Linked DNA regions of Nothobranchius furzeri. The protein of the gene in region 1 interacts with the protein of each later gene in a pairwise test. Links are inferred from orthologs where the notes say so. Each region holds a gene or a part of one and is shown on either strand. Other genes may lie near its edges.

Region 1 (4,011 bases):
TTCTAACTGAGGTTGTTCAAAGTGCTCTCCATAACAGCTATAACACCTGAGTTTTTCTGGATCCTGAAAGGGTTTTGATGTCATCGTTCACTTTATGCTCACTCTATCGCTCTATCGACATTGTAAGAGTTGATGCAGAACCAAACACATCAGCTCATTGTTTACTTTCATAAAAGCAAATTTCACATTTGTTCAGATGTTTAACCTGAATAAAAAGGGCATATTTTCTTTGTTTGTTTTTTGTTTGTTTGTTTTCTTTTCATTTGGAGCACATGGGTTATAAAATAATGTAAGTTTATAATAATATTAAAGTAACCATTTAAATGTTAAGCTAAAAATGCCAGTATGTAAAAATGGTTAACTTATTATTCCAACATTTGCATATTTTTTTTACTTTTTAGTTTAGCAATTTTCCAATTTATTTGAGTGCTTGTTTCAAACTAAAATATGGTCTATTATACGGTTGACCTGCATTTTGAAAGGTTGAAGCAGTGTTCACAGAAACGTAGCGGTTTCATAGTTACCTGTTAAGTGGCTCATTTTTTCCCACAGATTTCCATTTAATTTTATTGTTGTTTTTTTTTTTACAAAACTGAGCACTTTCTCTTTTGTCTTTCCAGGATGGCCTCCACCATTAAAACACCTTGTTTCAGTTCTAATGTTTTAGGTAACAAAATGTCATGTTGTTTTTGCAGCACCTAAAAGCAACGCATTATATTTCAAACATCAAACTATTTTTTTCTGTCTCCACATTTCATTTAGCCACGTTTTAAAGTTTCGCTTTGATTTATTGGCCCAACACAGCAACTCCACGTTGTTTTCAGTGCATGTTGCGACATCTTTTGGCGGGTATGAGGACTTTCCAGTTACCTTGAGAATATAATACATTTTATTTGACTCACAAAGTACATAAATATGAATTTTATTCCTATTATTTTCAGTTTAATTGTGTTTTTTCTTCCCTTTCTTTTCCAATGTCATGATGTTGATTTTAAAACAGTAAATGTGTATTTCTTTTTATTTATTTATGTATTTTTGGAGACTGGTAAAACGACATTGAAGTTAAAACTCACAATTCATGTAAAAATTAGCAATAAAGAACTCAAGTAAGTAGTTTTTATTGGCATTTCTACATTTGGAACATTTTAGAAACTGTCTAATTTTGTGTGAATTCTGTTCATGTTGGTAAAATGCAAAGTAAGAGCTGAAGTTATGGGGGAAAGTTTACTGAAAGAGTTAAAACATTGTGAATGCAAGTTGTCTTCAAACATAAACGTATTCACAAAGTGACTCTTGTTGTGGTGACCTATAGGGACGACCACCAGGTGACGCTATTTTCCTATCAACGTTGAGAGTCAAGAAAAGAAGTAGAAGAAAACCAATGCGCATGCGCCAGTAGATGCGAAAATGGCGGCACTCCTGGAGCAGGAGTTGGAGGCGTCAGAGATTTCAAAATTACCCAAAACAGTTCAAAGTAAACTAGAGAAAATTCTTTCCGATCGTCTGTATGAAATCGATTCATTGAAAGCACAGCATGAACTGTACCGGGTTAATAGCGGTAAGTTGATTCGGTGGTGCTGAAGTAACCGAAATGTTTTTCAAGGGAGCAAAGTCAGTCAGTACTGTTTATATATAAATACAATTATACAATTGCTGTTATTAGTAAACGAGTTGTGGTATTGTGCTTTAGGTGTAACTTTTTTAAGACTGCCATCGAAAATCTGCTAGAGTCGTTAGCTAACTAGTGCTAGCACGTGCTAATTCCTAAAGCTAACAGAAAACGATACCTGTTATTCTTCAATGAATGTGAAACTAATTCAAGTTTATGGCGCCGTCTACTTTGAACAGAACAACAGTTTTTTGAGAAGGCTGAACAGCTCAGCCAGAGGCAAACAGAACTTTTGTCCCAAACACAAGAACTCCTCAAACTGAAAGAGGAGATCTCCAAACTCGGTAAGAACGACCATGTTGCCGTTTTAGCTGCATTTAAATCGGCTGCGCTGTTTAGAGTTATAATAATCGAGATTTGTCACACTGGTGCAGGTGAAGAGCTCAAAGATGCCCGGGAGAGGAATAGTGAGTTTGAGTCTGTGCAGGAGAGATTGTCATCGGAGCAGGTAATTCAGCAGCACTATAAAATAAACCAGATGTGTAACTGCTTGCTCTAGTCTGTTAGCGTCAACAAAAAATTAATCTAGAAACCAGTGTGATATTCATTCATGTTGTCTATGGTCACACATCTAAAATAAAATCAGTTCAGGCTAATTATAAGTTAATTAAATTATCGTCGCAGTTTACCACTTGATTTTTTTGGGAATCAAATAAACTTTTTACTTGTTTTTACCCAATGCCTTGTGTTCTTTTATTCTAAAACACTTGTGGTCCTTATCTTGAAATGTGCCAATGATACATCATCTATCTTCCTTTAAAAGGAAGATAAATTAAACTAATGAACTGATGAAACTAACATCGGTAAATCAGGGGTCTGATCATGTAAGCAGTGTAAGCCCATTTACGAGCTCCTCACCATGATCTTAACAAGCTGTGTATTTGTTCAGACTTTGCTCACAAAAGTCAAAGAAGACCTGGAGGCAGAAAAACTTGAACTTGTGCGAACGCTGGAGAGGAGGTCCTTGGAAGTGGAACATTTAAATGGTATGCAGACTAATTTCTACCTTTTTTATTAGTTTAGTCATTATAAATGATTATTTGGACATGTCGCTAATGTTGCTGTCATTGATTTGCCAGATGACTTGAGACAGCTCAATGATAAGTTAGTGGATGTCAGCACCTCTAAGATGGCTCTGCAGATGAAGTTAGATGAGCTTGAAGCTGCAGAAATCAACATTAAGGTGAGTTGTGTCATTTTTTTGTTTAAAAATCAGACTTAGGGCTGCTCAATTAATCAGATTTTAATCCCAATTACGATCTGAGTTTTGAACGGTTATAAAAACAAAACAAGCCGATTATTTGCTCCTTCCTCTTGTGCTGCCCCGAATTACAAATCAAGCGCTCATCCCACAGTGTTGCCAACTTAACGACTTTGTCACAATTTCCAACAGCTTTTCAAACCCCCTCTTGACTTTTTAAATCTTAAAAGTACCTAGCAAACACCTCAGGAACATCTCTGGTAACCCTTAGCTACTTTCTAGATAACTGTCGTCGACATTTCCTGCAGGTTAGAAAAACACTCCCCCTGCGCTCCGTACTGTCCTTCAGGACATTAGGAAAGGGAATGATGTAGTGATGTGTCGGTCGCAAAAGAAACGGCTCTCAGAGCCGGCTCCCTGTTGGATTAACCGGAGTGAGTGACACACACACCGTACCTGCAGGCTCCTGAGCCGCTAAAAACAGCTAATTGTGTGTGTGCTGCGCGCTAAACACACGTGCAGCTTGCCCCTGATTGCTGTGAGACTGGGGTGGGGGGTTGCAGCAGCACACCTCTGATCACTGTGGTTGGGACAATTATTACATTAACTGATGGACCTGTAAATAAATAGTTTATAAATAAGGTAGAAATAGATAGAAATAAGTTCCTCACGCTGATGAATAATAATCAATCTCTGATACTGAGAGTTGCTTGTGCACTCTCCTACAGCACCTTGACAGGACTAAATAAATGTAATGCAACATTTTGTGAACATCACTAAACATTTTTTATTTATGTTATAAATGCCACTGTATAATTCTTGCTGTCAGTATTTGCAAGATATTGGTATTTGGGTCTGTACTGTACTAATTTGGGTGTTATTTTTGACAAGGTCACTCAAGAATGTTGGTCCGAAACTGTTTTTATCATTTAAGAAATATCTCCAAACTGCGAAGGTTGGTGTCAAAACATGAACTTGAAATGGTTCTCCATACCTTAATCTCCTCCTGTCCTGTCTAGATTACTGTAACACACTCTTCACATGTTTTAACAAAAAAGCCCTTGATCGCCTTCAGCTGATCCAGAACTCTGCAGCGAGGCTCCTAACTGGAGCAAACAGAAGAGCACACGTCACTCCTATT
Region 2 (3,950 bases), on another chromosome or scaffold:
CATATTTAAAGTTGCATCAGTGATTTTAAAAATCCAGAATGCTAATAAAAACATTTGTCTGGTTGACTCCGGTTCAGGTTTGAGTGTAAAAGCTAAAATTCAAGGCAATGAAGCTTCATACTACGGAGGAGGATTGGGGCCACTGATAAAGTCATAAGTTTTACAGCTGATTTAAATTTTTTTTTCTTTCAGTGCCCTAATCTTCTTCCGCATTACACACACATGTACACTGGTGGTGTCTGGATTATTTTGTGTAAATATTCAACAAACGGCTCAGAATGTTGAAAGTAAAAACTGTTTTTTGTAGATCTGTTTCACCGTACTCCGTTCCACTTACAACCAGTAAGTGCATCTGCAGAAATGGAATGTAGCCCTTGTTGACCTACTCTTTTAGGTCTGCGATGAAATAGGGAGGGCATTGCCATCTTTAAAAAATAGTTGGCCATCCCTGCCTCGTGACCTGTGGAAGCCCTCTGCCCCACACACACACTCCCTTAAAACACATTTATGTTCACACAAATCATACATTAATCTTTTTTGATCAAGACATAAATAGATGTCAGTACGTTTATTTTGATCGATTGTTAATAAGTAACAATAAATACCGTATTCAATAAATCTGTATTTAAAAATATGCTTGTGCCACAGAACCTCCTCATTTTAATAAAAAGGCATAAATCCCAATAATTTTGTTATGACAGCAATGCGTAAATTAAACTTTTAAAACCGTCAAATAATATGAAACAAGGCCAGTAATAACTGGATTTATTCTGAAATGTTTGTGTTTGTCAATTTTGAAATTATTATTGCCACGGGGACCAATTTGGTGTGCCACCCCAAATTTTCACTGCCCCCCATCTGGCCGCCCCTGTGAAAATTGTTTAGGGGTAGCCAGCTATTATCAGATAAATGAAAACAACATCAATCATTTTTTTTATTTCAAGACTATCTTGAATTCTTTTTTTTTTAAATAAGCTAATAGTTTTCACCCCAGTCTCAATAAATAATAATCCAATAAATAAATGCTGCGCACAGAAAAACGGCTCCATAAAGAGCCCTTGACCTCTTTTGTTATGGTCACTCACTACATTACCCACAATTCATCTGCCGGCGGCCGCTGTGCTGGATGACAGCTATCCGGCGCCGAAACAACGGCAGACTCACTCAGACGACAGAGCCATGGCGGCCACGGGTGGAGGGAAAATTAGAAGCAGGAGATGTCAGATTGCTTCTAAACCTTACGCCAAGAGTAAACAGGTAAATCAAGTGAAAGTTTCCGTGTTAACAGCCTCAGTCGAGCACAGCACAGTGATTGAATTGCCACAATTCTTCAGTTTGTTTTGTTATTGTTTTGTTTGAGACATTTTATGGCCTTCAGTTAGCGCTCGTGGCCTCCACGCGCCGCTAGCATGCCCATGAAATGCTAACAAACTAGCAAGTTGGCTTAAGGTTAGCAAAATTAGACGGACTTGACAGTCAAATAACGACAGTGTATCGTCCAGAAAACTTAGTTAGTTTTTGTTTTAGCTCAGATCCCTACATGAAAAGCTGAGATAATAATTTTGTAAGTTGAAAGTGATTAGCCAAGTTAGCACGAAGCGAGGAAGTAGAATTTCAGCTGCTAATTGGAGCTAACCCACTAGCATCGGCGTACAACGCATTGTCTTTGGTGCTTTTCAACATCGCAGATTCAAGTGACACGATCATTTATTCCGTCGTTACATATTTATTTAAGTACGTGAACGTTTATAATGCAGCTGTACAATAATACCACTGAGGTATTATATAAATGACTAGTGTAAGTCAAATCTCAGCCTGCAGAATTGCGCAAGGAGCGTTGGGTTTATTGGGAACCCACATGGTCCCCCTGAGGGATAATCTACCGCCCTGATGTCAAAGTTGACGTTTTTAAAAGCACTCTAAAATGTAGACATTAGGCAAGACGTGGCTGGGCACTCGGCGGTTTCTCTGATCTGTTTTGTCATCTCTTAAAATTTCCACATAGTGTGTTTATAATAAAATGCTTAAGTCTCTAGAGTTGCAGAAATGATATCTAACTAAGGTCGGTGTATTAATAAATAATTACTTTGTCAGCAGTGTTTTTATGACAAACGTTGTCCGTTAATTATTTAAAATTTGCTAAGTTGACCATAAACAACTCTGCTACATCAAAACATGTGCATCCATTTCCACCTCACTTTAAAACTTGTATGTTCTTATTCTATACAGGCCTGGCACTCATGTTTTTGCAATAAATCAGCCTTTATTGAAATCAAACAAGTACATAAGATGTTAAACATGCAGGTTAGTGGCAGACACAAAGCTGATGGTTGTAGGTTATTGCGCAACCTTGCTGTTTACCACATTATTAGCGTTGTATTATGAGGTGTTACAATTAGAAGAAGTTGCATTATTTTAAACAAATAACGACAAGAACAAGTAAAGTCTAGTTTTGCAAATGCTAATAAACTAAAGATTTGCTGTGGCTTTTTGATTTACATGGTAAGTAAATTAAACATTCAGTTCTTGTGTTAGCAACATGCTTGCTTCTTGCTAATATTTGTGCCATGTCACGAAGATCAGAAAAGTTTTTCTGAAAGTACCCAACTGCACAAGTCATTAATGTTTAACTGTTTGGAAAATTTGGGGTAATACAAAAATGTCAAATACAAATTGCAGCAACCTGAGACGAGCTGCAGAAAATCTGACATCTCTCTGGGAGTTTAAAAGAAGTCCAGTTGCTTTTTGTACAACTTTAATTCACTTTTAATAGAAACATTAAGATTATTAATTTTGACTTGGAAGAAAAATAAATCTGGATTTAACCATGTTTGCAGTTTGCTGCAAGTCACCACAGTTGTTGATGTGCAGCAGACTAGTTGGAGCACATTCTGTTCAACATAGTCTTGTTTTCTTTAGATGAAAGGGAAAAATAAACAAAAGATGGGATAGTGATTTTATAAATGAAATGAAACAAACTCAGTATTTTGGGTTAATCAAAGTGGAATCGTTTAGATGATTCATGAATAGCAGGTTTTCAACCCATCCCTCTTATAGCTAGGCCCGCCATCATGGTACATATGTGACACTAACAGTGGGTAATCCCAGTATGATGTTTACTTATTAAAAAACACCCATAAGGAGGAAACAAATGCCTTCATTCATAATTGTGGCAATGGCAGCATTCAGTTCTGCCAACATGGGTTGGTAATGAGAAACCACACAACGCCCAACTAATAAATCCTGTTTCTGTAAAGCTGAAAAATGTTCTTTAGTTTATTTATTTTTGTAACAACAAAAGCAAGTTTTTATACGCCAAAGTAAAGTTGTTTTGTTTTTCTTTCATTAAAAAATTATTTTCATTTTTGCTGTGTGATTGGTTATGTCTGTTTCTTTTAGGGGACATATACATCTGTAAAACCTGGAAATGTAACAAAAACATGCTTATTATTTTGTTTTTCTACATTCCTTGTATATTCTTTGTCTAACGCCATATTTCTTGTGTCTTGATCTGCAGCAGTCAGGCCTGATTAGTCGAGTGACGGACACGGTGAAGAGCATCGTTCCTTCCTGGCTGCAGAAATACTTTAAGAACGGAGATGCTCCCGAAGGAGGAGAGGGAGGACAACGGACAGACCAGAGCTGCCTGCTGCCACCTCCTCCTCCTCCTCCTCCTCCGAATGGTAATGAAGAAGGACCTCCTTCTTTTGATGGACGGGATTCACCAGAGCCAAGCACCAGTAACACAGGTTAGAAGTTGCTCAGAAACAACATTTTGCTGTTTCTTCTGTCATTCATGATATTAACTTCCCTTTCATTTGCACAGAACCCTCAACAAGTCACGCATCCCTGAACTTTCAGGAGTACGTGCTCTCCCGACCTCCTCTTAGTCGCTCTCACCTCCACTTCAACCCGCTAGATGTGTCCTCCCCTACTTTTGGAGCCTCCAG

Evidence for each region. The genes of interacting proteins can lie anywhere in the genome.
Region 2: the proteins of tprb (region 1) and nup153 interact in a two-hybrid assay, tested with the Homo sapiens proteins (3 studies listed by BioGRID, with this or other methods). The link is inferred for Nothobranchius furzeri from reciprocal best matches to the Homo sapiens genes TPR and NUP153.

The regions. Positions count from the first base shown.
Region 1 is NC_091748.1:67,351,037-67,355,047, reverse strand, and holds the start of tprb (translocated promoter region b, nuclear basket protein), read left to right. Parts: upstream 1-1,209; 5' UTR 1,210-1,407; coding exon 1,408-1,558; intron 1,559-1,848; coding exon 1,849-1,953; intron 1,954-2,043; coding exon 2,044-2,117; intron 2,118-2,558; coding exon 2,559-2,655; intron 2,656-2,748; coding exon 2,749-2,852; intron 2,853-4,011.
Region 2 is NC_091759.1:104,981-108,930, reverse strand, and holds the start of nup153 (nuclear pore complex protein Nup153), read left to right. Parts: upstream 1-1,145; 5' UTR 1,146-1,179; coding exon 1,180-1,257; intron 1,258-3,517; coding exon 3,518-3,749; intron 3,750-3,826; coding exon 3,827-3,950. UniProt on the Homo sapiens protein: Component of the nuclear pore complex (NPC), a complex required for the trafficking across the nuclear envelope. Functions as a scaffolding element in the nuclear phase of the NPC essential for normal nucleocytoplasmic transport of proteins and mRNAs.